Linked DNA regions of Lytechinus pictus. The main gene of each other region encodes a partner of the protein of the gene in region 2 in a complex. Links are inferred from orthologs where the notes say so. Each region holds a gene or a part of one and is shown on either strand. Other genes may lie near its edges.

The links.
Region 1: ragulator complex protein LAMTOR5-like (region 2) and folliculin-like share a complex: the UniProt entries of both Homo sapiens proteins name them as parts of the lysosomal folliculin complex. The link is inferred for Lytechinus pictus from reciprocal best matches to the Homo sapiens genes LAMTOR5 and FLCN.
Region 3: ragulator complex protein LAMTOR5-like (region 2) and ragulator complex protein LAMTOR1-like share a complex: the UniProt entries of both Homo sapiens proteins name them as parts of the ragulator complex. The link is inferred for Lytechinus pictus from reciprocal best matches to the Homo sapiens genes LAMTOR5 and LAMTOR1.
Region 4: ragulator complex protein LAMTOR5-like (region 2) and ragulator complex protein LAMTOR3-like share a complex: the UniProt entries of both Homo sapiens proteins name them as parts of the ragulator complex. The link is inferred for Lytechinus pictus from reciprocal best matches to the Homo sapiens genes LAMTOR5 and LAMTOR3.

Annotation. Positions count from the first base shown.
Region 1 is NC_087254.1:2,675,949-2,684,642, reverse strand, and holds the start of folliculin-like, read left to right. Parts: upstream 1-5,253; 5' UTR 5,254-5,360; intron 5,361-8,694. UniProt on the Homo sapiens protein: Multi-functional protein, involved in both the cellular response to amino acid availability and in the regulation of glycolysis.
Region 2 is NC_087247.1:51,474,379-51,482,354, reverse strand, and holds the start of ragulator complex protein LAMTOR5-like, read left to right. Parts: upstream 1-4,707; 5' UTR 4,708-4,829; coding exon 4,830-4,864; intron 4,865-7,334; coding exon 7,335-7,396; intron 7,397-7,976. UniProt on the Homo sapiens protein: As part of the Ragulator complex it is involved in amino acid sensing and activation of mTORC1, a signaling complex promoting cell growth in response to growth factors, energy levels, and amino acids.
Region 3 is NC_087249.1:39,305,190-39,313,650, reverse strand, and holds the start of ragulator complex protein LAMTOR1-like, read right to left. Parts: upstream 3,554-8,461; 5' UTR 3,206-3,553; coding exon 3,164-3,205; intron 88-3,163; coding exon 17-87; intron 1-16. UniProt on the Homo sapiens protein: Key component of the Ragulator complex, a multiprotein complex involved in amino acid sensing and activation of mTORC1, a signaling complex promoting cell growth in response to growth factors, energy levels, and amino acids.
Region 4 is NC_087251.1:16,375,142-16,383,769, forward strand, and holds the start of ragulator complex protein LAMTOR3-like, read left to right. Parts: upstream 1-4,868; 5' UTR 4,869-5,076; coding exon 5,077-5,085; intron 5,086-6,898; coding exon 6,899-6,933; intron 6,934-7,467; coding exon 7,468-7,526; intron 7,527-8,525; coding exon 8,526-8,628. UniProt on the Homo sapiens protein: As part of the Ragulator complex it is involved in amino acid sensing and activation of mTORC1, a signaling complex promoting cell growth in response to growth factors, energy levels, and amino acids.

The DNA.
Region 1 (8,694 bases), on a different chromosome or scaffold from region 2:
TGTCATCTTTGTCATGGAACTGGACAGTTCAAGAAAGATTGCCCAAATAATGTACTAGATACTGAGAGGGTGGAACCCAATCATTCCAGTCAGGATGAAGGAAGTTTAGAGAGGAACAAAAAGCAAGCATCTAAACAGGATGACCAACCAGGAGCTGGACAAATTCGAGTTGGTACGACAGGAAACGTCAAGCGGCAAGGCATTTTCATTGAGTCTAAAGTCAATGGTCAGTCAGTTACATTTCTGATTGATACTGGATCGTCGCAATACTTTATTGCCGACAATGTCTTCAACATGATCGACAAGGAAAACCAGCTAATCTTGGAGAAAATGAGTAACACAGGCTGATGGATCGACTTTAACACCAGGGGAGAAGCTGCAATGGAATTGCACATTGGAGGATTGGTCTTCATGGTCCAACTGTCCGTGGCTACATTGAAGAATGAGGGTATCATCGGTCTTGACCTGTTAATTCAGATGCATGCTGAATTAGACTGTCGTAGGATGGAACTACGAACACCTTGGCAGTCTATCCCCTGTAAGGACCGAGAGCGCAGACAATTTTGCTGCAGATCCGTAGACTCCGAAACCAATATTGTCCCCGCCGGGCATTATGTTGTTCTCAAAGGAGAAGCGACTAGATGTGACTCCGAGACCATTAGCGGGGTCGCATTGTTGGAAGCCCCTGCATTTTTTTACAGAATTGAGCAAGAAGGGCCTGCTAGTAGCCGCGGCTGTGGTTCGAGCTGATGCAGAAGGTATAGAGGAAGCCCGTGCCCCTCAGTCTGACCAGATGTCGAACTCTGTACCTAAGCACCCAGAAGAACTCTATGAACGAAGTACAGAGCAACTCCCTGAGCACCAGCGTGGAAAAGTGGCGGCATTGCTATAGGATTTTGGAGATATCTTTTCACAAGTTGCAAATGACCTGGGGAAGACCGGTCTGGTACAGCATTCGATCAGCACAGGTGATGCAACCGGTGAAACACCCAATATGTTAATGTTAGGGCGAGAGACAATCCCATGCCTATGGGCTGGGATCTCCCTCCTCCCGAGACCGACGGAGATGACGACCAAACAGACTACAGTGCCAGGTTCCGGAATCATCTAGAAATAGCTCACAAGGTAGCGAGAGAAACCTTGAAGACAGCGAGCAGAAGTCGTTCTCCGACAGGAAGGTGCATACAGCTCCCTATGCCGTTGGGCGATTTGCATGGCTTCGAAAGAAGACCAGAGAAAAGGGTCGCTGCCCAAAACTGCAACCAAGATGGCTTGGCACTTACCTAGTGGTCACTCGCCTGTCAGATGTCACAGTTAGGATTCAACAGTCACGGAAGTCTAAACCATTGGAAGTACACATTGATAGGCTGAAACCCTATCAAGATATTGGGCTTCCGACTTGGGAATTCAGACCCCGTGGTGGAGACTTTGGAGCAGAGAGGTTCGCCAGGTGGTGTCAGCATGCATAATCACAACACATCCGACTCCCCAGCAGACATCCAGCCAGATGGCGAGGTGCCTGAAAACCCACCAGACCAGACGCCAGCAGGTGAAGAGGCATCTGAGAGACCAGAAGATGACACGTTGACAACTGACCATGATACTGAAAGTTCCCCAGAAGACGTCGTGCCCGATGAGGATGTGCCTGGAGATCCACCAGACTGAAGCCAGGCTGCAGGTGCACCCTTGCAGGTGAACCATATGAAGCTTCGGCAGACGACCACACTTTGGAAAGCTCCTCAGAAAACATTCCACCCAATGACGATGTACCTGGAGAGCCATCAGACAACAGTCCAGCTGACGATGCAACAGATGGTGCAACAGCACGGGGTACAACTAATGCACAATTACCCACTGCCATAGGAGAAACCGCACCTGAAAAAGAAACTTCAGCGAGACGGTATCCCTCCCGTGACAGAGGACCTGCTACATACCTGCGGGATTATTTTGAGACATGAGTTTCCTACAAACTATAACAGTCAGACCGCAGGTCCCTATGCTAATGAGCAAAAAGGCCAGATTCATCCAAATCATCTCGTGGCTGAATCCTCCTCCTTGCAAAATCTCGTGATTCGTGAGATTTTCTTTCTCTAAGAATTTACCTGTTTTAACCTCAAGTTAAATGAAATATTATTGCACCATCAGATAGAGTAAATGTTATTCTTTCATGTTGGTTATTTATTTTCTATACAATATTTTGTTAAATAAGTAAATTTCTGGCCTGAAAATGTGCCTCAAAACTGAATTTTCTTCCTCTGTTTTCTTTTGCAAATTGTGCAAAACTTTTTATTTTGAGCCTCAATGATATGTATATCATCATAAAGCTGAACTTCTGTACTTTCAATGCCACTCTTAATATGCGGCACCTTTTAATCGGGTCAAGATCACACTTTTCCCACCAAGGTACAAGACGAGATTTATGAAATTTTGTACTTGCATGAAATCCAAAGTTCTGATTGGTTGGATAAGGTTCACAGAACAACAGGCGCGGGTAATTTGAGGAGATTACCACATGGGAAGTGTGACCTTCCCATGAACCCAGGCACTGGAACCGTTGGAATTTGCCAGTGTGTGGTCTCTTTGACTAATCAGAGTGCATTATTCTTGTTTTCAAGCTGCTTTATGTACTTGGCCAATGAAAGGTGTGATCTTGACCCGATTAAACCAATTCTTATTTTGAAACCTTTACCATTTTAAAGCATACATGTTCAGCTTTATCATGACCAAAAAATCATTTGGGCTCAAACAAAAATAAAGTGTGAAAATAGCATCTTTTGTCAGGTGAAAATAAATATTTTGTAGCATATTTTAGATCAAAATTTTAACTTATATTACAAAATTTTTGAATAAATTCAAACACATGACCTAAAAGAATTATTCTTCTTCTTTACAATGATGCCAAAATCATGAAATTCGATGCGCAATTAGAGCAGCAATGACCGAACGAAAAGAGGTGTTTTGATCCGCATCAAACTCATTAAATATGCAAAACATCTCAAGTCATGAAGAAGCCACTTTCTTGGGACCTGCCGTCTGACTGATAACTAGGACTAAGTTTTCAGTTCAGATGGATACATGATAATGAACTCGATCCCAATCTTCAAGCTTTGTGCGGATACGTTACTTCGAAAATATTGACATTTGTGGACTCTAATTTATGTTTTAGAAAGTTGTACAGGACCTGAACAAGAATATATGACAATTTTTTTTATGGTGTTTCGAAACTTAAAAATGAAATTAGGTTGTTTTCGAGTTTTTGGTTACCCCCTGTTTAGAAGTGGACAGTTTGTTATTAATTACCTTGGGGACCAAGCTCGAGAGAGAAAGGAGTCGTGTAACGAACTATGTTTCCGTTTTAATGTCATAGAGAGCTTATAGGGTCTGTAAACGTAGACTATACGGAAATCCTGACAAGAAAACCGTGTCAGCTGGAAGTTGGATTCATATATAACTACTCTCCACAACCTACGGATCTTAGTGAACGCATTTTACATACAATTTGTTAAAGGTCAAGTCCACCTCTGAAAAATGTTAATTTGAATCAATAGAGAAAAATCAGACAAGCACAATGCTGAAAATTTCATCAAAATCGGATGTAAAATAAGAAAGTTATGACATTTCAAAGTTTCGCTTATTTTTAAAAAAATAGTTATATGAACGAGCCAGTTACATCCAAATGAGAGAGTCGGTGATGTCATTCACTCACTATTTCTTTTGTTTTTTATTGTTTGAATTATACAATATTTCAATTTTTACGAATTTGATGATTAGGACCTCCCTGCCTGAAGCACAAAATATTAACATAATGGAATTCCACGTGTTCAGGGAGGAATGAAACTTCATTTCACATGACAATGATGAGAAAATCAAAATATTTCATATTTCATATAATAAAATACAAAAGAAATAGTGAGTGAGTGATGTCATCAGTTCCCTCATTTGCATACCGACCGAGATGTGCATATAACTGTTTTGTGAAATGAAGCGAAACTTTAAAAGGTCATAACTTTCTTATTTTACATCCGATTTTGATGAAATTTTCAGTGTTATGCTTGTTGAATTTTTATCTTTTTATTCAAATCAAGTTTTTGTTGGGGTGGACTTGTCCTTTAAAATCAAATCTGTAGATTTACATAACACTAAAAGAATTTGAATGCATCAATAACCCATTGATTTTGTTTACCCAACTAAACAAAATCATATTTTCCAATCTAAACAATGAAAAATTAGAATTCGGTTTGGATTCAATGCAATTTTAAAAAAAAAAACACAAATAAATATGCTGTTTAAAATTGTTTACACTCCTACACTGTTAAAAACCCTGATTTTACAGGAAAAAAAAGATTTTGCAGAAAGCAATTTAGAATCATTCTGTAGATTCATAAAACAGGAATTTTTCTGCCCGTTAACAGAACAGGTCTGTTTAAAAAGGGGAAAAGGGTGTTTTCTTTAAGGAAATTTTTTAGGTTCCATACACCAAATACCAATTTCCTGTAAGATTACGCAATCTGGTAAGATTACAGGTGTTCTCGAGACTCTGCTGCAGGAACTTCTTTTATTTTAAGGATAAATTTTCTAACAGTGTATGCATTTTAGATGTTATACAATTCATCCTCATCTCGATTATTTCAGCACCAATCGGATAAAACACAATTATATAGTTTGCACTGATAATTTATCTTTAACTTCAAATTCCTTTTTTATTGGATTGAGTTAATGGCAGTATGGGCATGCAATTTAAGACAGTATTTCTTGGTTTTGTGAATGTGTATACGTGTTTCTCTTTTTTTAATGTAATAATAATTCCTTACTTTTGGTATTTTTAAGATACTTTTTGATATAATTTTTATTTCGTTTTAAATATAAATTATCAATCTTTGTACTATGAATTGTATAATTGTCAATCATTTTTATCTGTACATAATCCAACTCGTGTAAAATTTATACGGTTGCACTAAAAGAAGATTGAATTGAATCAATCTTCTTCTAGCTTCTTCTTAATTCTTCTTCTTCTTCTTCTTTACCTCCTCCTCCTTCTTCTTTTTAATTCTTATTCTTCTCCTCCTCCTTCTTCTTCTTCAAGCATTAGACTTACTGCTCTCAACTCGTCTCAACTGTAACTATTGACACCAAACTTAACACCGCATTGACACCGTGTATGACACATATGCACGTGATTATGATGATAGTCGTATTTACTGGCATGAATACGGTATCTGCGCGCTGCTGCTCTTTTTTAATAGCGCCACCACCATCAATAAACAACATACCGCATAATAATGTAGAAACCATCCATACCATATCTTCTTGTCCTTTTGATTTCCTGAAAAATAGACATTTGTTCAACAGCTCATGTGTGTGTAAGTTGATACTTTCGGAGAAACTAACATTTTTACTCGTAATAATTTTGGTTTTAAAAATTTGGTTGAGAGATCGCGGCGGAGCTCCCAGAAAGCGAAGTTCCCGGGCGAAGTTGCGCCTGGAGCGGCCTTGGTCGCTAGCTCCTGCCCTAAGTCTTCGGGCCCTTGGGGAGAGCCTCGCCTGACTCCACTGATCTGAGCTGCGGCTGCCTTGGCTTGGGGGGGGGGGGGGGGCTTGGAGTTGGAGCTGGGCGCGAAATTATTTTTCCCACTGCAGTTCTTGTGGATTCTTGTGGAAGCCAATATAAATATTCATGACTTGCGTCTTCGGAAGTTCAGAATAAGAGTACGCATGCGTGTGAACTTAATCTTTACAAAATTATGGTCGTACGCGTGTGTTGTCGTTGCTGTGTCTATGAATGAATCGGCACCTTCAAATTGCCGGTATACCCAGTCGTTGTGTGTCCGGACAGGTTGTGTGTCTGGACGATCAATTTTAGAAAGTCAATTGGAAAAAATTACAAGCGAAGTTTCATCAATTTTTACTTTTAGTACAAAATGTTAGAAAATATTATATAGGCCTAGAGAACAAAATAGAAAATGATTACAACAACTATTGAATTCATATTTTTAGTGTAATCTTAAGACAAAAAAGAAGGCTTCAAAAATATAAAGTGTCCGGACACCCAACCCCCCATCCTACCGGGTACCCACTATACTGGCTTAACGACATAACGTTAGAGTCTAAGTTAAAGTGAGATCAACTCATCCAGGATATGCGCCATCATGTACGTAGCTTGGCGAAGAACAACAGGAAACATCGGAGATTTTCCCCGTCTTTTCATAATATTTTTCTTGTTTTTTTAATGAATTGTTTTAAAATGAAATCAATGTCGGAAATTAAGTTGTATCCCCCACTGGGGATGAGGGTTTATACATGCGGTAGTATTTCATTAAATCTGACCAGAGATGATCCTAATCTTTTATTTGACATGTGACGATATCTGCAGTTATTTTATAATCATGGCTTTAAGTATAAAGATATAGGTGTCCACTTTCAAATACATCAAATTCGATGTCTGGATCTGGATTTATACGATGCAGGGCCCTCCTGGGCATAAACGCATCGGGTGAGAGAGGGCGGAGTGAGGATAAGAAGGTTCTGTCAATGGCCTTCTTGAATGAGCTTGTCGATGTTGAGTTGATGACCCGGGGGCCAGTTACATTGACGAGTGGATATCATGCGCGACCAAAAAAACGTAAAAAGGATGTCTTTTTCAAGATAGGGCATGTTACGTACATAACGTAATAAGCCAGGGTGTCAAAAACTAATTAACTGAAAATTACACTAGGAAAGTTACGTGTTTAGGGTCAAATTTGCGAGGGTGAAAAAATTGAGACTAAAATGTTTTATAAAGGATGTACTTTTTGCCCCAAGCCAGAGTCATCACTACGTGATTAGAGTACGATTTGCACGAGATGTGGGAGGTGGGGCTGTACTAAACCCAATGATGTAGGTAAAGGTAAACCGACGTCCGTGACATATATTGCTGTACTTGTTTAGGGCGTCAATTCAGGGAATACTTGGCAAGAGTATCGTTTTGTTTCCAATACTAGGGTATCACACGCCAATACTTGTTAAGGGGTGCATTTTCAGAATATGGAAAATACGTGTTTAGGGTGCTTTTCGGGTTCCACGACAATTGCTCCGCCGACAATTGCTCCGGACAGTTGCTCCGCCGACAGTTGCTCCGTCGACACTTGCTCCGCCGATATTTGCTCCATCGACATCTGCTCCGCCGATAATTGCTCCGCCGACATCTGCTCCGATTATCGACAATTGCTCCGCCGTTATGTTCTCCGATTATACGACATTTGCATGAACATCTTATTTCTCCAAGTTGGTCTATGTTAAATGATAAGAAATTCATCCTGATACAAATTGTTTTGTTGTTTCATTCTTGTTATTCGTTAATGTTTTATTTATTTTATTCTCCCCCTATCATCACAGCTTTCTTCTTAAAAAAAACAAAATTGTTCTCCCTGCCGCTGCCACTTGACAAATTGTAACGAAGAAGGGGAATGACACACTCCCCATTGAGATTTGATTTTTTTTTTCATATATTATTATCATTGGTTTCACTCCGGTCTTGAGCGGGGAGAGAATTTGGGGGGGGGTGCTGGACAAAATATCTCTTCTGCTTTCGAGCAACTTATACACCATACATTCAGGCGGGCTCTCTCTCTTTCTCTCCCTCATTCCCGTTTTGTTCTTTCACGCTGTTTATTTTCATTGGTGACCGCTTGATTTATTGTATTTATCAGCATTATAATTATGAATATTTTATCAATAATTTTCATTACGTCTTGGGCCTTATCTACCATTGCACCTTTTTTTCAATTTGTTTCGAATGAAAGTATGATCATCACTGGCGTACAGATGGGGGAGGGGCGTGCTAGGGGTCACGGATCCCCCCCCCCCATTCTCCCTACCAATGAAAAAAAAAGAATAAAGGAAAGGAAAATAAATGTCATCCTTGTCTGGCCCCCTCCATTTTTTTGTTGGCTCATTACGCTACTGGTGAGTTACTACATGTATAAAACTAGACTTCGGTTATATTTTTTTTCTATTCTGTGCATTAGCGACAATATAAATATATTTTAATAAATGAATATATGTATGTATCTCTCTCATAACGTCTAAACAAATAATGTTTTTTTTAAAAGACAATAATATATATACCAGTAATAATTTAGTTACAAATTCATGAAACCCAATACGCATCTCACTGAATTTATAATGCGAGCACGAAGCGCGAGCTGTTATTGACCTGGAAAGGGGACTCGTCTACCATCATTTGTTTTACCATCAGTTCGTCCACTATCCTCATGGTCTAATTGCCATTTCGTCCACTCACCATTTTGTCTAATAACCAGTTGGTCCAATAGCCATTTAGTCCATATATATACCATTTGGTCTAATTGGATTAAGTGTTCATTGTGCAAAATGAATGAAAATGAAATGGATATTAGACCAACTGGTAATGAGTGGAAATGGTGATTGGACGAAGTTATGATTGGACCAAATGGTTGTTTAGACAAAATGTTGATGGACGCAATGGCATTATTAGACTAAATGAAGTGAGACCATGTGGCGGTAGATGAATTGGCAATTTATTTTACCTATTATTGGGCCCTCACAGACTAAAAAATTTGGCAGGGCTTCTGAGGGCTTGAGAAATTTTTCGACATTGTACACCTGTGGGACATTGGGGGCTCCCTCCATGGATGAATGAATAATTGCCACGACTAAGAATGAAAACCAAAAAGGAGA
Region 2 (7,976 bases):
AAACAATGGTGATTCCACATGTTCAGTGAGAAATAAAACTTTGTTTTACAGGACAATGGGGAGAAAATTAGAATATTTCATATTTATTAAAATAAAATACAAAAGAAAAAGTGAGTGAGTGATGTCATCATTTCCCTCTTTTGCATTCCGACCGGGATGAGCATATAACTATTGTGTGAAATAAAGCAAAAGTGAAAAATTTCATAACTTTCTTATTTTGCATCCGATTTTGATGAAATTTTGAGTGTTATGCTCGTTTGGTTTTTCTCTTTTTATTAAAATCAACTTTGTTTCGGACTTGACCTTAAACGAAATTAGTGAATCCCATTATTCAGCAATACATTTTCTGAAAACACAAGTCATGACTAACAAACTGCCTGCATGCCGTCATGAATTTCTAATAGGTGGGCTGTATAAGTTTTAGCAGTGATGATCTTATACATCAGAACAGTAGTCAATCCTATCAGCATGATCCATTACTTCTTGCCGATAACTACAGTACTTGTATAACTAAACATGATTATTCTAGAATATGAATTTATTCCTAAACCCGACTTTAACATTGACTTGTATTTCAAATACTTGTGTATTGTACATTTTTGAGTGAACCATGTATACCTGAGTTGGAATTATTTCCTCATGTTGACATGTTTTCATCATATTTTGTTTTGTTCTGTGTATATACATGTGTGTATAAACCAGTGAAAAAAGAATTTCCTTTATGGACAATAAAGTTATTCTATTCAGTTCAGTTCAATTATATTTTTACATTCTTATCGATGGTGAATAAACATTATTTCACATAATAAAGTACAAAAGAATAAGTGTGTGTGTAGGGGGGGGGGGTGAAATCCATCAGCTCGATTAGTACATAATTATTCATGATGACATGTATAATGCTAAACATTAAAATGGCTTAACATTATTGCTCCATGTCAAATTTAAAGAAAATTTAGTGTGGAGTTTGGTTTTCTGGCTAGAATATATACCCCTTTAATGAATTAGATTGTAATTACTTATTTTTTTTGTAGTGTTCTGTTTTGTCGTAGAGAATATATACCGAAGGATAGAAAATCATTATGATGTATTATATAATTATTAAAGATATCATAACTAAATTTATCCTAACTAATATCATATCAATCATATGAAATAATTATAAGTCCAAAACACCATCGATAGTCTCATCTGATGTCACAATTTACGGCGTATTGCGTCACTCATTATAGGGAGTTATGGCAATCGCTATGCAGAACAGTATCTGGAACGGGGAGAATCTATTGTCAAATGCCCTTCATTACAATGAAGTCTTTATCGAAAGTCGGTGAATTGAAACAACAGTTTCGTCCGTGACATCGACATCGGACAAAATGACATATTTGCCTTTTTGTCAGCTCCAAAACGTCGGACCATACTACTGTTCCGATTCACCAATTTTCAAAACAAACTATATTACCAGTAAGGTGATAATTGTGTTGAATTATTGAAAAATAAATATCTTGCCACAGTATATACTGCATTCGTTGTAATTTATATTGTGTGTGAAGAGTCTTATTGTATATTTCTACAATGTACTTTGGTTCAGTCTGTACAGTGATAACTGCTGTTGCTACTAATTTCTTCCCAAATCTTCAAGTTTTTAGTTTATTTCACCAATCATAAAAAATACAAAGAAAATAATTCTGCAAATACAATACAAGCAATCAGTGGAAGATTTTTTTATTCCTATAGGAAATAATTGTATTTGTGAATGAGGGCCCAACATGACCGTATAACACATTAAAAGTAAAATGAATCATTTATTAGATAGTATAAGAAAACAAGGGGGAGTTGACTTGGCTGGTCGTCATTACATACACACGCTACCCCCTGCATCTTACACATCTAAAAATTGGGGGGAAAACAACTGAGAGAAAGAAGATGTTAAAAAAAGATACTGTTAGAAAGGAGGGAAGGCGAGAAAGTGAGTGAAATGGGGAAAGATAGATAGAAAGAGAGAAGAGAGGGAGCGGAAGGGGGGGGGGGGGGGCGGGGAGATAGACTCGGATCGGAGAGAACAGAAAATTTAACAATTTCATGCATGTTTATTATTGGATTGAAGCTCGTTGCTCAGTGAATGTCACTTCGACATCATGACTTGTATATCGTCAGGTGTTTTCCTTAAAGGGGTACTTCGGGCTGAAAATGATAGAGTAAAATTCATCAAGCAAACAAGTTCTGAAAATTTCATCAAAATCTGATTACAAATAATAAAATTATAGAATTTCAAAATTTAGCAATATTTTGTAAAAGAGTTATATGCACATTCATTAGGTGTCATAGCCACACTTCATTTTTGTCTCACCTGCATAGCAGAGTGAGACTATAGGCGCCGCTTTTCCGACGGCGGCGGCGGCGGCGTCAACACCAAATCTTAACCTGAGGTTAAGTTTTTGAAATGACAGCATAACTTAGAAAGTATATGGACCTAGTTCATGAAACTTGGCCATAAGGTTAATCAAGTATTACTAAACATCCTGCCTGAGTTTCATGTCACATGACCAAGGTCAAAGGTCATTTAGGGTCAATGAACTTAGACCATGTTGGGGGAATCAACATCAAAATCTTAACCTAAGGTTAAGTTTTTGAAATGTCATCATAACTTAGAAAATATATGGACCTAGTTCATGAAACTTATACATAAGGTTAATCAAGTATCACTGAACATCCTGCATGAGTTTCACATCACATGACCAAGGTCAAAGGTCATTTAGGGTCAATGAACTTTGGCCGAATTGGGGGTATCTGTTGAATTACCATCATAACTTTGAAAGTTTATGGATCTGATTCATGAAACTTGGACATACTAGTAATCAAGTATTACTGAACATCCTGTGCAAGTTTCAGGTCACATGATCAAGGTCAAAGGTCATTTAGGGTCAATGAACTTTGGCCAAATTGGGGTATTTGTTGAATTACAGCCATAAATTTGAAAGTGTGTTGGTCTAGTTCATAGAACTTGGACATAATAGTAATCAAGTATCACTGAACATCCTGTGCGAGTTTCAGGTCACATGATCAAGGTCAAAGGTCATGTAAGGTCAAAGAACTTTGGCCACGTTGGGGGTACTTGTTGAATTGCCATCATATCTCTATAAGTGTATTGGTCTAGTTCATAAAACGTGGAAATAAGAGTAACCAAGTATCACTGAACATCTTGTGCGAGTTATAGTAGTTTTCAAAATCAGCACTGCTGCTATATTGAATCGCGTGATGCAGGTGAGACGGCCAGAGGCATTCCACTTGTCTTATGTTATTATTACATGAAATCATAATAACTTCATATTTTCATGCATGTGTGTATGATTATGTTCACCACATAATAAAGTCAGTTGCAGCAATGAGTATTTAATGCGTTAAACCAGTTTTTAATCCAATTTTTTTAGTTCTTGTGGTACAAAATATGAATGAACACATTTTCATGTAATAAAATACAAAGAACAGATGGGGATATCACATCATCGGTTTCCTCATTGTATATTAAAGGTCAAGTCCACCCTAGGAAAATGCTGTCTTGAATAAATAGAGAAAATCTAACTAGCATAGTGCTGAAAATTTCATCAAAATCGGATGTAAAACAAGAAAGTTATGACATTTCAAAGTTTCGCTTATTTTTCACAAAACAGTGATATGCACAACTTGGTGAGTCAGTCGATGATGTCCTTCACTCACTTTTTCTTTTGTTCTTTATTGTTTGAATTATACAATATTTCATTTTTTATAGATTTGACCATAAGGACCAACTTGAATGAACCATATAGTATTGAACAATATGCTAATTCCACATGTTCAGGGAGGAATTAATAGTTGTATCACTTGACAATGAGGAACAAATTAGAATATTTCATATAATAAAATACAAAAGAAATAGTTAGTGGATGACATCATAGTCTCCTCATTTGCATACCAGCCAGGATGTGCATATAACTGTTTTGTGAAATTAAGCGAAACTTTAAAATGTCATAACTTTCTTATTTTACATCCGATTTTGATGAAATTTTCAGTGTTATGCTTGTTGGAGTTTTCTCTTTTTATTCAAATCAACTCTTTGTTGGGGTGGACTTGTCCTTTAATGAAGACATGCGCTTTAGGACTAGCTGTGATATAATGCAAATCTGTAATAACTTCGTTATTCCTTGTCCGATTTTGATCATATTTTCAGTGCTGTGTTTGTCTGATTTTTCTTTATCTGTTCATATCATTATTTTCACCCCGGAATACCACTTTCTTTGTCAGTTTTCTTGTGTGTGGCCAAAAAGGATGACAAACTTAGGTGTTTTTTTTTGTGAATTTTTTCTCAACGCCCCTTCGATGCGCTAGAGCAAGATAGAGTTGATAGGCTACCCGATTCTTCTTCTTCTTCATTTTTTTTTTTTTTTTTTTGGGGGGGGGGGCAAATTAATAGAAACACCTTTAAAAAATATGGATTCGAGCATCGAGGCTGGTGCTCCGTTCGGCGCAGGAGCTGGCCCCGGCCGCCCCCCCCCCCCCCCCTTCATCGAAACGTATTATGGTGCTCTGTTCTCTGTTGTTGTTTTTTTAGACTACCTGATAAAAATGAAAATTATATGGCTATAAATCCTCGGTACCAGGTACAGAAAATACAGATAGACTTCTGTAGATACCATCTTTTTTTTTTAATTTAAGTGCAAATTTTGGTCTGTACCCGCAGACTACGAATATAGGGACAGCTGCACGGTCGATCACATGATATTCCGCGGTCACATGACAAAGTAGAACATGTATCAATAAATCGTGATCCGTCTGAAATTGAAAACTCTCTTTAAAAAATGGAACAAAATCTCGACAAACTTTTAGACGACACGTGAGTATTTAACTTGATTTAATACTGTATAGTATTACTATATAGTAATTTTTCTTAAATTGTGAGGGAGACTCAATTTTTCGAGGTCGTATGCGGGGATATTTACATGGAAATTATAGTTTATACCAGTCCCGTGCGTTCAATTTCATGTAAAGCAGTAAGCTTCTATGTTCTAGTTTTTGTTCACTCACGCGTATTGCGAGGTTAGTATTAGTATACTAGCCTCGCACCACGAACCGCGTTTGGCAGTGGATTTCTAACTAGTGGGTCGCGCGTGCTGGGATCTCACTTCTTGGGTCCACAACACACGACTTCTATGGCTTGATTTTTCTGTGCGCGGCGGCATGTAATGAACCCTTGGGTGGTTTTTGTTCGAAATTATGTTTTTGTTTTGCTGACGGCAGAAATCAAGGGAGTTAAGGTCCTTGTTTGTTCATGTGATTACGAGTCCAAGAATTATAGGCTTATAGCTCCATGATAAAAGTACTAGCCACTCACTCATGCTATTATTTATTAACGTAGTAAAAATCCTCAGACTCAATTTCATTCAGTTGATATTTGGTTAACAAGAACAACGATTTGGTTAGCTCATGTAGCTTCATAATTACGGAAAACATAGACCCCTATCAGACAAAGAGATATTAAAAAATGAACAGGTATGACTTCATTTTGGACATTTACAAATCTTAAGCCTGTGAACACTCATTTAATGAACCAATTCAATGAACAAGGTTATGATATAACCTGTGAATAAAGAAATCATAGGCCCAATTAGATCTATAAAATATCTGGATGTGGAAAAAAATGAAGTTTTCAGAACTTTGCTTAGCAAATTCTGAAAGATACTTACTCCTAAGCAGTGCTTAGGAGCAAGTACATGTATCTTTCGGGCAAGTTGGGTTTAGATGTATGTAACTCACACTAAATGCGAGGTTAGTGTGCATTTCATTAATATTGTACAAACATTTTCTTTTGCTCATATCTGAACCTGTATTGTTTTTTCCTTTTTTAAAAATATTCCTTAAATTTTAAACCCATCAGTTTCAGTTTGCAGATTAATTATTTCTCCAGATTTACACTGCATCCCACAAAAAAGGAAAATGGGTTCCCCACATCATTTTTCTTCAAGGGCAAATTAATTATGTTCCATTTATGTCATCATACAATCAATCATTCCTCTACATTTTTATACCTAATATGTGACAAACACTTTGCGCATTAATAAGCAAGATGAGTTTGAAATTTTAATGTAAAAATCAGGTTGTGCAGAAAAATTGGACAAGATTGGTTCGTGTACGACAACCATGCTTATTCGATAATTGACTCGTTAGCATTTCTTTCGGATTCTTTGTGAAGTTTCTTTCACTGATCCCTGAAGAGTCTATTCGGATTTTTACGTGAGTTTCTGCGCAAATTGTTTCTTAAAGACCTTAATATTGTTTTTTACCCACCATGCGTGATTTGCTATGCTGTTGGTCTCAAATTAAAGATGAGATTCCACTCCTACCATAAGTATCAAATTTATAGTTAAAACATATTTAATAATTGTGAAATTTATATCTGGAAATGGGTTTCCTCTACTGTTGGACGCAGTTGCACTGTGAGTGCGTATATATATATATCTTTCTACATCTGCATTTAAGGCAAATTATTTGTCTTCTTTCAATGTTCGCAATGCGCCTTAACGCCCTCTACCTTTGACTTAAAGTCTAAATGTGTATTATAACGGAATAAACCCATTCATAGACTTCGCCCTTACACAGTTGAGGCCAAAAGTTTACATACACCCATGGAATTCATTGAAATTCGTTCACTTGCCAAAAATCGTAAAATTTACTATATATTCAGAAATATAAATACTACCATGACAAATTTGGTATCAAATAAAAGATAAAAGAGTGTGTTAAGCTCTTTCACATGATTGGGATGCAGTTGGAATTAAAGTGTATTTCAGGTGGAATTTTCTTTGAAGAAAAAAAGTAATATTCGTGCCAAATGTGTTCTATTGTTTGATATTATATTTTCAAACATTGTTTCATAAAAATATATAAATGTCAAATCTATGATTTATATTACATTTTCTGTCATGATGTGTCACCACTGAACAAAAAAGTGTAATCTGAAATGTTTGTGTTGAGAAGAAACTAGCACAGGTATGAAATGTTTTTGTCAAGTTTTCATTCTAATTTATCTAATTTATGAAGATTCTTTGGGAAAAAAATTACACCTAAATATTCATCAGCTCCTGATGACAAAGCAATGTGATGAAGGGGCATTAAATACTCATTTGTTTTATATCAAATTTATCATGATAGCACAAATATTTTATAAGATACAGTAAGTTTTTGAGTTACTTCAGTGAAATTGTTGTTGCCTCATAGTTGTTTATTGATGTCAGGGAACTATTAGATTTTGGCAACCAGCATAAATTTCAATATATTTGTCATGTCTATTTTCCTATTTTTCTTAGAATGGATGCCCCTGGAGTTATGGGAGTTCTTTGTGCTGACAAACAGGGACTTTGTTACAGTGGTAAGTATGGTCCAACATTAAACTTTGTGGGAGACAATTATGATGTGATACACGGAGAGTTCAACAGGGGGGGGGGGGGGTGAGAATGAAATTATATAAAATTATATTTTTATCCTCTATGGATGAGGAAAAAATGGATTGACAACTGATTTATTGTATCAGAAAATCCTTGCTGCTACATATTTTTTACAAGGTAGTACACACATGTATGAAAATATGAAGTATGGTTTAATTTCATGTAATGATGTAAGAGAAGGGAATGTTGGGACATGACATCATCAGCTCGCCTGTTGCATATTCATGACAGCATGTAGATAACTGTTTTCACAAACTATTGCTAAAGTTTAGAATTCAAAACTTAATTATTTATTATCAAATTTCGATTTTCAGTGTTTTGCTTGGTGAATTTCACTTTATTTCTTTAGATACAATTATTTTTCAGCCAGGAGTACCTCTTTGCATCTTGTCAAAGTGATTAGATGCTTTGTCTTGTATTCTTTAAATAGATTCTGGATACTTCATGGACTTCTTAGTTCTAAACCCGGATTTCTAAAGCTTATTACTGATATCCTATGAGTGA
Region 3 (8,461 bases), on a different chromosome or scaffold from region 2:
GAAATCATTGACTAACCTGTTCACAGGCCTACTGGGTGTATTCCTTGCTGGGTCTAATAAGCGAGTTGTTTCACCAGGGTGGTTTTCCTAAACATGATTAAGATGTTGAATTAATTATCATAATACCTGTTATTAGAGAACTCTCACATCATATTGACTTGAACAAAGAAAAAAAAACAAGAAAGCAAAATGCTACATCAACCAAAACCTGATCAATTTTTTTTTTAAATCAAAGAATTCTAGAAGAATTGTTTTTCTGATAAAGTGAGTGAAATGCATCAATATGGTCATACAAGTTCACTAAATGCTACTTTTGTATTTCATTTAATGAATTCACACTATAATTTCTTGGTCCAGTAAATATCATCATGAATTGACACCTCATTTACCTTTAATGTAGGGTAGCAAGGGTTTCGAGTCAATAATTATTTCAGATCAATTACAGTCATCTAAGAAAGCCAAAAGATTGAATTTGAATTTTTTTGTGTGCCTCTGGTGCAGTGTTATAATGCTAGAGTGGTCGGACCCAACCGGCAAGACAGATTTCTGACCACCATTAATTTCAAATGAAATGTGCTTCAAACACAACTCCTTGCAAAGAAGGATGTACGTTTGCATTAATTTTTTTTTCTTTAACCTTGTTTTATTTGCATTTTTTTTCAAAGATTTGACAATGTCAGACAGTTCTTACATGGTTTTAATTCACTTTTGGCTTTAAGACAACTAACTTGGCCTGAAAAAAAACTTTGTATTGCCATGAAAGCTATTTCAGTGGGGTTCGGTTCTGGTCAATACAATTTTGATCAATTCTACAAATTTCCTACCTTTTTATCCCTCTTTCTCTCTCATAAAAAATTGATTCTTATCGCTCTGGACACTGCGCCTACTCTCCCTCACGTAGCATTTGTAATACGCAATAATCTTAACTTAATGCACGCAAGGTGGTCGGTTTCAAAAGAGGTGGTCGACATGTGGTGGACTTCGAGAATCCAATCTTGAAGGAGGCAGATCAACCCAGAAGAAAAAGAAGATGACTTTAAGATTATTTAGACTTGGAGTCGAGTCTTGGGTAAAACTAGGACCCTAACTAGTGCTGCAAGTCAGGTGGCATGTTCGGGTTCTGTTCGGTTCGGCAGGGTTCGGCAAATAATTTCCGAACTTTGGTTCGGTTCGGGGTTCGGCAATAAATGCGCAATTAAATTATCGACATATAACTAAGGATTGCCAACCCTCGAAAAAATTAACTATTGAAATTTCTGTCGTATATTTATGATAAATTTTGTTTTTAAAAAGAATGGTTATAAAAATTGCTGCATAACTTTCTTTTATTTATTTCAATCTTGAAACCAAAAATAAGAGTCATTTCTACTTTCATTTTTAAATTGAATAAAAAAAATAAATAATAATATTGATAACGAGAGAATGAGGACAGAAACAGAATTACAAAGAACAGAATATTATTCGTTCATTGATTATTCCATGTAGATATGATCATGATCGATTACAATGCCATTGCAAACGCAGCTTCTCCGATTGGAAAGTGTTGATCGGGAATGTCGGAACAGTAGACAAACAACCTCCACTCAACTGTTATTATACTGGTAAAATTCACATTCCAAAGAATATGAAATCTTTTAGAAAGTCCCTATTTTCTGAAAAGTGGTTAAATCTGGTCAATCAATTACTTTAAAAAGATAAAATATCAGTCCATTCTTGGTCCCGAAAGATCGACACTCGAGTGACTTCAAACATATTTCCAACATGAAAATGAGTACATGGGACTGTACTATGTATTTTAGTGTTATGAAATCACTCGGCGTTGATCGTCAGAACCAAGACGGAACTGAAAATTTATCATTTCATTTTCAGTAAATGACCAGATTAAACCACTTTTTAGAAAATATTGACAATGGAAAAACATTTCAAATTTGGAATATGAATTTTACCAGCGTAATAGCAACTGAGAGCAGGTTGTTTGGACTTCCTGTTTCAATTTTCCTTATCAACCATTTCCGGTACACGATCAGGGAACATGCGTTGACTTGCTTTGAATTTTTATCTTTTCTGTTTTTTCTAACCTCATTCCTTCATCTCTTATTTATTTATCTTTAATATTGATATGTATATTTCAGAAGGTGAAATATACATACTTTACCATTACTTTGTCAGTCACAAGGAATGAATTTATGTCATTTTTTTATATTATTACATACAAAACAATTACATGGACGCCCGATCACAATCATGATCGATTACACTTATACGTAATTCAACTACACTTTTTAACCGAGTTTAGCTTAAAATGTCCCCACATTTTATGAGAAAAATAAATAAATTCATGGTAATAAAAAAATTGAGACTGATAAAAATTCAATCAAAGACGAGACCGAAGCTGTCATACTTTGTCATTTACGAGGAATGAATTTATGTCTTGTCCTTTTTCTTAATTAAATAGAAAACAATTAGGTCCGATTACGATAACGATCGATTAAGCAATACGTAATTCAACCACACTTTTATACCGAGTAAAGCTTCAAATGTCCCCTCATTTAATGAAGAAAAAATATATTCATGTTAATAAAATATTCTCGATATTGCCCGATGTTTACGCCGCCATCTTGTTTCCTATTGTTCTTCGCCAACGTTACGCAACGCACGCGTCTGTAACGTTGGCGAAGAACAATAGGAAACAAGATGGCGGCGTAAACATCGGGCAAGTCTCTTCCGTCTTTTCACAATATTTTTCTCATTTTTTTGATGAATTCTTGTTTAAAAATAACAACGGGAGCGTAGAAATGTCGGAAATGAAGTTTTATCCCATGTACATGATTTAGGGCTAGATCTTTTAGAAGGAAAGTAGAAATCTCGGGGGTGAAAGTTTCAGGTTTTGGGGTCCTGGCTTCATGTAGGTGAATGAGAAGGAAGACCTGGCTTCATTGAGAGTAAGCCTACGTTAGTAAATGCTTTTTACTCTCAAGAAGCCGCCTAGCTACCCCCCCCCCCCCCGGCAACCGAAGACTTTCAAAATAGAAAAGTCTTTAGTTTAGATTTAGGGCCTAGCATGCCTAGTTTCTTTAACTAAGTTTAGATCTTCTCTTTACTTTAGATTTAGAACTAGAACTAGAAGTCAAACATTCATGACGTTCATTTAGACTGCACTCACTTGCAATTTGCTATCATCATCTTTTCCATAGCAGCAACCCATTTTGTTTGATTCTATCCGAGATCAGGGTCGTCTTAATTCTTCTGATTCTACGTCTGTGTTGCAGGAGTACTGGCGCTGGCTGAATTCAAAATCAAATTTATTGAATGTTTGGCCCCACTTAGTCCGGCTATCGTGAAGACAAGAGTCTTGCTGTCCTTGAAGTTGAACTATGAAGTTGAGGCAGCGTATGAGGAACTCAGTCATCAAATTAATAAGTTCAATTCCTTCAAAGGTCCACTTTTAAGTCATTTTGATCAGAACGTTGTACTTCTTCCGAGCTTCTTGTGCATTGTGATGCCTGCTCTCGCACTGCACTGATGACTAATGCACCGCAACTTAACTGTACCTGTAACTAGAGAATTAGCTCTTGTGCAATTCGAATTACGATATCACGTTATTATGAAGTCAGCGTTGGACGTGAGTGCACAAGAATTGCATGCAACTAGTATAGTAATAGCCTCATGTACGTACGCAGTGACTTGTTGCAGTCATATGATTTCCCAGCCGTAGTCTGTTTAATGTCTTTGCAAGTAATTGTTTGTGTTTAGTGTTAAGTAATTTTCTAGATATTATCAATAATTGCATATACATGTACATGTATTTTTTTAAATGAGGCAAATAAATCAATTACTGACCCAAATTATTTTTTTCTTTCGGAAAACCAATCCTTTATTTTATTCATGGAATTCATTTATCTATCCCAACGTCTTGAACAAGTACTATGAACAAAAATCTTAGAAAAACATAGATCGATGGGAAAAGGAAGTGGGAGCTATGGGAAAGGAGGGAAAAGAAATATAGAAGAAAAAGCGGATAAAATGAGAAAAGAAGAAGAAGGGAGAAATTCAAAAGGAAACAGATGAAGAGAGAAAAGAAATAGGAGAAAAACGACTATACAAAGATTAAGGGAAAAGAAATGTAAAATATGGTAAAAGTATAAAATAAAATAAAATGAAAAGAGGAAATATCAGAATTAAATAAGATCAATAATGTAAGGAAAACAAAAACAGAAAAGAAATAGAACGATAAAAACATCAATACAAAGAATACTGGGAAATAAAGAGTTTGAAAATATGGTAAAAGGAAAAAATGAAAAGTGAGAAAATATAAGAAATAAAAGATAGAGAAAAGCATAGGCGGATCCCGGGGGGCAAGGGACCCGCCCCCCCCCCCCCCCCCCCCCCATTGGAGGAGCAAAAAAAGCAACAAAAAAAAGGGAAAGAAAAAAAAGAAGGGGAAAGAAAGGAGGAAAACAGAAGAGCAAAATAAGAGGGGGGAGACAATTGAAAAAGATAACGTCCGGGGAATATTTGGAAAATGATTTAAAATTATATATTTCATGTCACTTTATTTCGCTCTCACATAGCCTGTTCGATGAGATACATATATTGCTCAATAGGCTGATATATGTAGCTTAAAATTTCATTATGAGGTTTTGAAGTCAATACAAAACATATTTCAGCTCGGACATCAAGCTTTCATCTCTGTAAAATGTCCGTTTTGTGGTGTGAATATCCTTTGCAGCTTTTTGCGCTGTGAGCTCGCATTACTAGTATTTGATTTGCCAAATAGGCCTATACATATTGTCTTTGTATATTCCATAAGATTCTTTACAGCGGCGTACCCAGGATTTTCCAAATGGGGGGCAAATTGTTTGGAGGATATTTCGTCCGTGAAAAAATTGACAAGCAAAAAAAAAAAAAAAAGGGTCTTCAACTTCAAAAGAGGGGGCATACGTCGAATTTCTTTGCATTTTTTTTATTCCCTGGATCAGTTGTGACTCGTCAGAGGGGCAGTATGCCCCCTGCCCCCCCCCCCTTAGGTACGCTAGTGATTCTTTATATATTAATTCTCTAACCCGGCGCGGATCCAGGGGGCACAGGGGGCACGTGCCCCCCCCCCCCCCCTTGAGAAGCAAAATTAAAATTTGTTATGTAAAAATTATGCCATTAAAACAGAGGTGTGCCCCCTCTTTTGAAATTGAAGACCTTTTTTTTTTGGCTTGTCAAAATTTTCCTCCGAATTTGCCCCCCCCCCCCCCCCCTTTGGAAAATTCTGGTTCCGCCCCTGTCTATAACAAACTACTTAAAATTCCCCTTTTATGACAGTTTATCAAAAATTGATTAATAGTTAAAAATATATCAACTCATAAATCCTATATTCATGATTACAAAAGTGCTTAAAATATCCAGGTTTCAGGCCTCAATGTCAACAAATATCACTCACTTATTAGGCTTATTACATTTATAAATATGATAATTAAATTTTCATAAATTCCTATAATAACGAAATAGTCCCTTTTTCAGAAAGGAATATCAACAAGTTTCATATCGCGCTTAGGAAGAGGAAGACAGTCATCCTTTTCATCTGATGAAAAAATGTCCTTAGTCCTAGAATATCCAGGTACTAGGTCAAAATAATAATAAAGATATCAGCTCGCGCTTCGCATTCGCATCATTATACCTTGGTCACATTTGCTCTACGGCGGCCGTACGGCGAGTCGAAAACAGCCGTTTTAACATCTTTTGTACCAACTACATATAGGTGGTTTGAATTAAAATTAATAAAACCGCTGTTTTCGACTCGCCGTACGGCCGCCGTAGAGCAAATGTGACCAAGGTATAAGTGCTATCCACATACACTTTCACAAAATCCCTACAGTGCTTTAGACAGTGCTTAAATTTACCCTTTTCATACCGTTTTTTTTTTCCGCTCGCATTATTGATTTTCATGATAAAAATAAAATGTATTCAGAATGCCCAGATTCTGTCTAACTCTAAAACACGCGCACACAATCATGTTTATTGAAATACGCAGCCAGTGATCTTTATTCAAAACATGCTGAAATTATCCAGTTTGCGCTCGCATTATATAATGTAGGAACTTCCTTTTTCTTTTTACAAAACATGAGTGTCCCATTTTAGGTCTGAAATCTCAATTTTTTCCGCTCGCACTTCGCGCTCGCATCCGCAGTTTTATACCTATACCGTTTATTTCAAAAAAGCGCTTAGAATGTCAATTTTTTAGGTCAGAATGTCAAAAATTTTCAGCTCGCGCTTCGCGCTCGTATTATCTAAAAGTTGAAATATTTATCGTCTTAAATGATGGCTAACTGCAAATCGTCCTTATATAACAGGTCCCTTTTCGATCAAGCCAGAACCCATATAAAAAAAATTCTGCTCGCGCTTCTAGTTGCATACGCATCTTGTTCAGGTTCGCAAGCATTGCCCAAAATATTCAATTTTCAGGAAAAAATACATGAAATTCCAAAAAGATTTCAGCTCGCGCTTTGCGCTCGCACTATTCAAATAGGGCTAATGAGATTATTACATTTTTTTATGTTGTTTTATAAGAATAAAGCTAAGAAATGACTGTTAAGACCTCGGCGTTTTGCCCCCCCCCCCCCCAATTTTTTACGACCAAGAAAATGGGGAGAAAAGGAAAAAGATAAGTGTGAAATATAGGCCTATAATTTTTCAAATGTCATGTCAAAATTTATCAAAAACTGTGATTTTTGTAATTAAAATGTCAAAAATTTTGCTTGCTTCTTATAAATTTTACTTCATATGCCGTATCAAGCCCCCCCCCCCCCCCCCACTGAGACAAACCCCTTCCGAAAGAAACAAACAAAAATAAACCTTGAGCGGCCGATCGGGGAAAATATGGGTGAAAAAAATTCGCCACCCCCCCCCCCCCTATTGGCGGGAGCTGGATCCGCCCCTGAATATGGATTTTGGCTCCTGATTTCAGCTTGATCGATTAAGGTATTGTCACTGCTATTCTTGAAAACTTGATTTTCCAAAAGGGGAGGGGGCACATTTCCAGAATAAAATTTGACATGCAAAAGAAATAAAAAGGTTTTCAACAATAAATTAAGGTCATTTCGTCCACGAAAAAAATTGATGATAGTAGTTATAATAATAGTAATGCTAATAATAATAATAATAATGATAATAATATGTATGATTATTGTCTCATGTGCATGGAATTTTATTGAAACGACATAGACGTAAGCAATCACCACGAATCCATTTACGAAAGCAACGAATGTCGTCCATTTCAGTTGCTGATGTTGATATGCATTGGGGCGAAACAATACGAGCGCACAATGGCGGGAAATTTGAATTTGAATAGCTGATCATGGGGCAGGCGAGAATGAATGTATTTTGCCAATACAGGATCAGGTTAGAACTAGCCGTAAATGCTTGTAGAACTAAGAAAGATGTCCAACCAGAATTTAAACAGCAGATCTCCAATAAGAGGACAGCCGACAGATTTAATTTTCCTGATATTACTGAACATGAAAGGAAGGGATGGAAACTTCAGTGATTTCAGTCATTAGTTTGGTGATAACCAGGTAAGTAAATCAGTGTTAAAAAACTTAAGAAACCTTGTTAAAAATCGCCCAAAGAAATAGACGTTTGCCAAAATATGCACATCCTTCTCCTTAAGCGATTTTTAAGGTTTTTAGGATCATTTCGAAGATTTGAAGTTAACTTATGTGTAGATTTATCTTGTTTATACATACAAGAGAACTGTATTAATTGGGTCAACTCCATGAACGCCTACATGGACGGTGTTACGAATCTACACTGCATGCATGGGGACTTTGATGATGTCACCCACTTAATCTTTTTTTTGTGTGTATTTTAAATGGAATATATGGAATATGGAATTATTTCCTCATAATGAAATAACATGTTGAATTGTTATTAGTGCAACCTATAATCCAATGAACGAGTAATAGCTTATACAATTGTCAAATCTTCGAAATGTATTATCATTTACAATAAATACAAATAAATATAATCATATGCGTGATATCATTGGCTCTAATTTGCATTTCCTGTGATGTGCCTTCAGCCTAAACTGCTGTTTTGTAAAAATGAATAAATGTTAAAATTGTAGCTTTCTTAATTTACATCCGAATTTTGATGAAATTTTCAGCATCATGCTCTTTATTTTTGTTTTTCTCTCTTTATTCAAATCAACTTTTTTGCTTTGAAGGACTAGACCTTTAAACAGACAATAAATTGACTTTAGTTAAAGAAAGCTTTTCATGCAGGGGCGGTGGAACCGAGGGGGGCAGGGGCAAACAAAATGTCCAGCCATTCCATGTAACTAGACACCAGGGGCTTAAAATATCAAGTTGAACCAATTAAAAAAAATGATTGTTTGGCTAGGTATATGTCCAAACAGTGTAAATCTCATTTTTCACTGCTTTAAACCTTCCAACGACCGAGTTACACATTTCTG
Region 4 (8,628 bases), on a different chromosome or scaffold from region 2:
AAAATTAAAGTATATATCTTTTTTTGTTCGATCGTGCTCAGTAAAATAATGTAATTTGAACTAAGAATAAATTCAGTGCTTACATGACAAGTTCATTTAAAGAGATGTTGGAAGTAGATAGGATGTAATACAGCTATATAGGTAGAGCAAAGTTTGTATGTTTTTCATAATCATCATCTTTGTTCGATAACATATTTTCATAAGGGATTTTTTTTTATTGAAATATGTAACAAAATTACAGCTTTAATGGAATTAAAGCTCTATTTCCAATAGAGCCTATTCTCTCACAAAATTTGAATGTAATTTTTATAGCTTTCCCCACCTTTACTAAATATGCTATACAGAAATCTTTACATATAGCGATAGATGTGTAGATCGGACCACAAGCGTTGGAATATAATTGTATAAGAGCTTAAAGGGCGATTGTTTCAATCCATATACTTCACTGAGGTTTCAATTCGAAATAAACCAATCCAATTTGGCAAAATTCAATCTCTACTCATGGTCTTTGTCAATTACCACACATTTAAAATGTTGGGCAACATACCGTCCACTATAGTTGGGTAATGTATGTCGGTAAAAAATAATTCTGAGCAATTATTATCCAATTGACCAAATTTATTACCAAATTATTAGTTTAATTACCCAATTTGGGCAGATTTTAACCAATAGTTGTGTGGACATGCAGGGTTGGTTAAAAGTTGGGCATTTTTTTGCCCAACTATTTTAAGAGTGCATGTATTTGTAAAAATCACGGTATTTGTACATTTAAATTATTGCATTATTTTTCTTTTATCTCTGGCTGTTTTGAAATTATTTTCATGCAGGGTTGGTTAAAAGTTGGGCATTTTTTGCCCAACTATTTTAATCGCTGATGTGGTTTACGGTACACCATGTGGAGTGTTATAGAAACAGTGGATAGTAGAAGAAAAGAAATGGATAGGCGAGAAAGTGGGAATTTGAGAGTAGAGTAATCTTTCTTGAATGTAGTCCTGAAAAAGACTGTAAACCAGTAGAGATTGATGATTTGAAAACAGCTTGAGTAGTAGGATGGATGAGGAGATGCTGGCTTGAGTCGACGAGTAGAGATGATGAGAAGAAGCAGTAGAGAGACTCGACGTTTCGGGAAGTCTCTGACAGTCAACCTGCCCGAAACGTCGAGTCTCTGACAGTCAACCTGCCCGATACGTCGAGTCTCTCTACTGCTTCTACTCATCATCTCTACTCGTCGACTCAAGCCAGCATCTCCTCATCCATCATACTACTCAAGCTGTTTTCAAATCATCAGTCTCTTCTGGTTTACAGTCCTTTCCAGGACTACATTCAAGAAAGATTACTCTACTCTCAAATTTTCACTTTCTCGCCTATCCATTTCTTTTCTTCTTCTATAACACTCCACATGGTGTACCGTAAACCACATCAGCGATTATGCCACCATGCAAACCTTCAAACAACATCCAACTATTTTAAGAGTGCATGTATTTGTAAAATCACGGTATTTGTACAATTAAATCATTGTATTATTTTTCTTTCATCTCTGGCTGTTTTGAAATTATTTTCTTTGCCCATTCGCAGACCCTTTTATACATGGGACAAATAACTTCTCACAGCATTCATCTTTATGTCAAAATCATTACCTTTTTGCCTAGAGGGCCTTCTTACTCGTATATTTCAAAATCATTGTGTGTCGCATCAAAATTTCATCCCCTAAAAGTTTATGGAAAAATACGCCATTGATATAACAATAATCCTGTGTTTCGGGTGAGAATTATTCCCTTTATGTATATAAGGAGGAACAACGGGGTTCAAGAAATGAACTTTTTGCTATCATTTATATTTTTAACAGTTTATCTTATGTTCACACTGAAAAAGTTCCCGGTTTTCAAACCACAAACGGAAAAGTGATATACTGAAAGGTGATGAGATCATCGATATGTTTATATATCGATGACTATATTGCCAAGATATAAACACTATAATCTTTACACCAGATGACTGCCAAACACGAAAGATGGTATACTGCATTTTCTTAAAACAAAGTTTGTTGAATTGTGTCGGGTAAAGTTCACAGAGATATTCGGTTCAAAACATTATTATTCATGCCGGTTCCAGTTGATCCGGCGACAATTGCTCCGATGGAAAATCTGCACTTTAAGCCAAACATGAAATCAAACCTCCAAAACTAAATATATTCTTATCCTTATCTTTACATTATTCTGAACCAAATACTCTATTACAATCCTTGTAGCCCAAACCATATGCCCTCTGAGATATTAAGACCGGTGCAAATGTCGTGTACGTCATGCACCTGCAGCCATATAATGAGGGCTTCCCAAAACCGGACAGAAGACTAGACCATTTTATGTGACTTGAGATTGATACTTTCTGTATGCAATTGTAACATATTTGATTATCTCATTGTCAAAACATTAAAAAATGAGTTAGTGAAATTTAATGAATCATATTTTTAATTCCATGAAGAAAGATACGAGATCTTGGATGGGAGACACACAAAACTCACCAATATTGTTGACAGAAGTTATTACTCCCAAACAGCCCTAGCTTCTATTAATAAAATCTGACCCCCCCCCCCCAAAAAAAAAAAAAAAAAAAAAAAAAAAATATTCAAAAAAAAAGAAGAAATGATTGAGTTTTCGAGCTCTCTCCAAAACAGAAATAGGTGGCTGACAGTGTCAGTAACAGAATGGGGTTATAAATGATAGGAAAGTAATTTTGGCAAATATTGAGGACAGTTCATACGCCCCCCCCCCCCTGTTAACCAAAATAGTACTTTCGTCTTGTACTTCATTTTGACAAATTGAAAAATATGTGACATTTATCCGCTTTCTTTATTCACATTTCATGTTGTTGCATTTAATACTATTTGTGTTATTTGTGGCTTTATGGGGACATTTTAACCTTAAACCTATAAAAGAATCAAATCCGCATCGCCTTTGCATTGTTTTCCCCATTTCCGTGGTGTCTCCAAAGAGGAAATTGAGAATGTCTGCCTGGACAAAAGAAAATCTGCACAACGAAAAAAAAAAATCAATTTGATCATACAATCATACGAAACTACACTCATTGCCTTTTAGGGACTCAGAATTCACTTTATTGCCCTGATGATAAATCTCACTGACACAAATGAATTGTTCATAATTATTTCAACAACAAAAAAAACATAAAAATTCACACACTGAAAAAAATGGAAGGATACAATACATTTTCTCTGGTTCATGTCGATTACTCCCCCCCCCCCTTTTGTGTGATTTTGTCATTACGTGATCCTATATAAAAAAATTGTATTATAATAAAATTCTGCATTTCCACTTTTTTGTTAAGAATCATAACGAAAGTTAATAACTTTCATCGAGGATCTTTTTTCGCTAATAAAGGGAAAGAAAGGTTAATATAGGCTATATTCATTACAAAAATGATCAATGTATGATGATAAAGACCTATCAGTCCTTTCTAAAGAAAGATGGCGCTAGAGTCACAAAATAATATACATGTACATGCTCATTTCACTGATGTAATATCATGTCTCAATATCAGGTATGTATATGATAATCAGCGTATATAGAGCTTGAAGAAATTTGTTGAAAATTAAAACGCAGACGTTCAGTTGTAAGACAGGAGCTCTGAAATATGGTCAAGATATGATTCACTTGACTGGAGATACGTGCCTTTGTATTTCTATAACTGAAATACCCAAAAGGATTCAACCTTCGTCTGATTAAAATGCAACATAAAGTATTACAGGTTCTCTAGTCTAGTTAAACACATTTACTTAAAATGAAAAATGTCCCATTTGGGTTTATAACAATTTACTCCAAGTTATTTGGCCTAAACTCAGTCAATGTTGCTTCCTTGCTTTAACTATTATCATTTATATATCTGCTAGGATCGAAAGCTTAGGCCCCTTTTGACTTTCTAATTTACTCCATTGGCTCTCTTTTATTAGATAAGCAGTTTTTAGCAGCTTCTTTTTGCCATTTATATATCTCGTACAATGAGACCTGAAATAAGTGGAGATCGGAGAGGAACACCTTAACACCCGCTTTACCTTAGTTCTAGTCATTACTTATTGTCCCCTATTGAATTTCTCATATAGAGAAATAACCAAAGAAAATTATGCTACATTCTAAAGATCCAAAACAACAAGATTTTCTAGGCTATCCAACGTCACGGTGGGGATAAACGTATGTAGTGTTTGCACTAATGAGTCAACAAATTCAGACTATAAAAATGGACGCACATATTTAATATAAGAATAAAAAATAAAATTGGTTTACTGCCATTTGATCTTCCAATTATAAAAAAGCAATTTATGCAATAACAATCGAACTGTTGAACAAGTATTTAATGAGTTGTAAATTACGCTCTTACATAACATTATTTGTTATTATCGCTTTTTGAGGCCTTTTTTTATCGAGCATTGCACACTGGCGGTGAATGATTTGCCAGTATTGGGATGCATATGTAAAAGAAAAATAAATAGATAATGAAAAAAAAACTGTGTGGATCTTCGTTAAAAATCTCAGTGGCGGATTATATAGGACTTTGTGGTTGACGCGCAGATGTTTGCTACAAAGATGAAATAAAGGCAGTGCACATAATGGTGGGATTCCCTCCCCTCCAGTTAAAGCGTGTAAAATTGTATGATCATCCCTGTATTTTCATGCTACTCTGAAAAAAAAAAATATAATGTACAGACTATTGGAGAGTCAAAGATTTACTAATTCTAATATCTGAAATCGTTTTACGTAACAAAATTTATATCAAATTATATCCTGGCACTTTTTTTTTCTTTTTTTTGCCAAACTTTCAAAGCCGAGGAAAATAAAAGTAAAAAGTTACGTGGCTTTGTTGCAGACTATACAGCAGAGATCACGAGACTCACGACTGAAGCTGAAGTAGTGAAAGAGGTATTGTGGAGTCAGAAAGTAAAATTCGATGTCTAATTTTAAGTTATGAAATGAAATAATATTGACACATAAGTGAATACTTAATGTTAATCGAGCAGTGCTTCGAAAATTTGTGAGAATCGACGAATAAAGCTTGGCAGACGTGAAGATGGTTGAGGTGAGTAATCATTTTCCATACAAATAGTAAAATACGTGGGACTGTAATATAAATCGTCGCAGAGCGTACATTGATATATTCAGTCATTAACATTTGTCTGTCTTCTGATAATATGACAATTTCATCAAAATCTGAGAATCATATAAGAGTAGAGTTAGAATAATTCATTCGGCCAAATTCTGTATTATGCTCAGCGGCCTTAAGGCTTAAATCCACCAGACCTACTGAATATCTTGTGAACTTTTAAAAAATATAGATGATAATAGATCTAGCCTAGCCCTAGACCTAGTTGATTCTAGATTCTAGTCCAGAAATCTAGATCAAACATTCACGATTCTCGTTTATTAACGTTAGCCCAGATATCGGCCATTGCGCTCGTATGTTGGAACTTTGACTGGCGCTTAGCTACAGCATCTAAAAGGGGAAGCTTGATCACCCTCCTTGATTACTGCTTAATTCCCTCTTGTAAGTTGTATTATGTGCATGGGCAAAAAGGTGCGCAGTAAAACAAAAGAGCAAATAATATTGAAGCTTACCACCTTTCCAAATTGGTATATAACGTTATGGAAAATACAGAATTTTTATGACAAACATGCAGGATCAGCCGGGGTTTTCTTTGTTTGCCATCATGTTTGTAATATGTAATGAGGATCGTCCCTGTATGGTAGTGGATCGTATTACCGAACACTTTTCATGAATTCAATCATATCAAACACACTATTCTCATAAAATTCACCAAACTTTCACCATGAATACACAATTACCTACAAAATATAAATATGTAAAAATTTGGCCGAAATCGTTTTTCCTATTTACGATATTAGCTTCCAATCGGACCCCTCTTCGCATGTGAAATATTTTGGTCACTTGAAAAAGGTATCGTATTACCGAACGTGTGTTTTCTATGGGAAAAGTTGAGAAAACAACCAAAACAACAAAGTCACTGATGCGCTATTTTGACCATATCTTATTGTTTTTCGAATATTAAGACTTTGAAATTGTGTTTTTGACAATTTTTCATCATCTTTCTATTCAAGTTCTCTTTGAAAGGATGTTGCAAATTTTTGAGCATATGGAATTATTTTCTGATGCGTATGATGCGCACGTTCGGTAATACAAGGCCGGTCGGTAATACAATCACTCACTATACATATAGACGTTGTTTTACACTACAGGTATTGTCTTTTTTACAATGATTTCTCCACATAAGAAATCTAGAAAGTTCATTCACCTGCCAAGTGTCATCATGTGGTCGTCATTAATCAAGAGTGATAGACAATATAAACTTATCAGGTTTATAACAAGATTATTTAGTAAAAAATAGACGGTGAACTGTGGGAACGGAGGTCACAGAATCTATTTTTAGCACTCAAATTCCCTAATACTGTATGTCCTACAGGCGGAAGTGAAAACAAAAACTGTCTTCAGTAATAAGGACAACCTCATTTTATCGAGACATGATTGATGTTTGTTTATGAGGATATCCTTGTTTTCTGGGATGACACCTCTAATGCACCAAATACAGAGGCTTCAGGTTTAATTTAAACTCTTGTCTAAAGCTGTGGTTTAGCAAATTGTGACAGGAATCTTTAAAAGTACCTGTACAGGTATAATTGATATATCAGTTACTCTGATTATTCATAACTGCGTTAATATGCATAGCGGGACATAGTAATTTATATAAATTAGGAACTGAAAATTGTAGCACTTGATCACAATTTGAAAGTTTGTACAACTATGAAAACAGCTTCTATTTCAAAAGTTTAAACATGGTTCCATTTAAAATTGTTTCAAATGTTATTTTTGGTTGCAGCAACTGAAGAGATATTTGTGGAGTCTTTTGCAAATGTGAGTATTCAAATACTGTTTCATAAACATTATTTTGATTTTTTTGTAATCGGGGTTGGTCTTTAATGGGAGTGGTAGATTTTCAAGTGATCAAGGGCAAAAAGTGTAAAGATGGGGAGGATGTAAAGAAAAAAATGCATTGTTGATGAGATGATTTGCATCTATGAGATGTCTTGTATCTTTCTTTCATTCAATATTGATTAAAACTTTTTGAATTGCAAAAATATCCAATATTCCTTCACCTTTCTATAAAAATATTGCATTTATTTACAGACTAAAATGGCATGCTAGACTAAGGGTCTAGAGCAAAGTCCTCCACATCAACATGAATGCAGCCTCTCAACTCATTCTTTATGACCAATATTTGTATGTCAGTATATGATAAAGATGAAATACATGTCCTTCTCATAAGTGAATGATGATTGGTAGCAAAATATTTGAAATGAATAATTTTTTAATTTATCCCAAGTCTTTCTATTTACCAATGTCAAATTTTGAAAGATGATTTCATATTTCTGTCTGAATCATATTCAGGGTTGAAGGGCTAGAAGCCATAGTAATTACAGATAGAGATGGTGTCCCTGTTATTAAAGGTAAGTCCTACTGCGTTCAGTTTTTAATATATTTTGGGTTGAAAATGCCTTGGCAATTGGCAAAGTTTTATGTGGTTCAAACTTTTTTTCTTCTTCTACATGTAGCTTTAAAAGCAGAATCTACGGCCAATTAAAATTGATATTAATTAAAAAAAAATTTTTTTAAAGCGCTAAAAATTAAAGTATGAAAATGAGAATGGCGGCAGATCAAGATGGGGTGCAAGAGACATACAAGCACTATTTATTTTATATTCATATTATGATACTGATTGTTTATTATCAAATATCACTAATCCGTAATTGTGTAAAGTTTATACAAAAGTCTTTTGGTTGAATTGTAAGAAAGAAAATAGCTGAATCGACATGTTCAAGATGGAGAAACCCACATTTTGCATAATTGAATTGTAAATTAATTGAAAACTTCTTTGTAACAAATTACAAAAGAAATTATGAATGCATAATCTTACTTGCATTACCTGTGCTTTGCCTACTGTACATGTAACTGTTATGTGAAAAGAAATAAATCTTAAAAGTATTATTATCTTTCATCCAATTTTTATGCAATTTTCAATAATATGCTTGTTCAATTATTTTTTTATTTATTCAGATCAATTGTTGCTTGGGGTGGACTTTGCCTTTATTTGTAAAATTTTGATTTGGTGGTGTAGAAGGAGCAAAGAGTTTGCTTTTAATCTTTTTAAGGGTCTTGTATAGTTAGAGCAATGTAATCCCCTGTGTTTGTACGTGCTTGTGTTTTTGTTTTGAGAGTCTATTACTTATGCTCTAAAAAATGAATTTGTGATATAAATGAGTGAATATGAGTCAGTAGTGGAAATACACTGTCATAAAACTATTTTATTAAAAAAAAAAACAGGCATATTAAAGATATTGGACTACAGTCTAAAAAAGTGTATATTACCCTGGAATCTGATTATTTAAAGAATGATTACATGTTAAGATTTGTTTAGGAGCTTTCTTTCTCACTTTTTTCTTTGGTAGTGAAATCTGATACCACTCCAGAACATGCAATGAGACCAGCCTTCCTTGCCACATTCGCCATGGCTGCTGACCAGGCCAGTAAACTAGGGCTTTCTGCCAACAA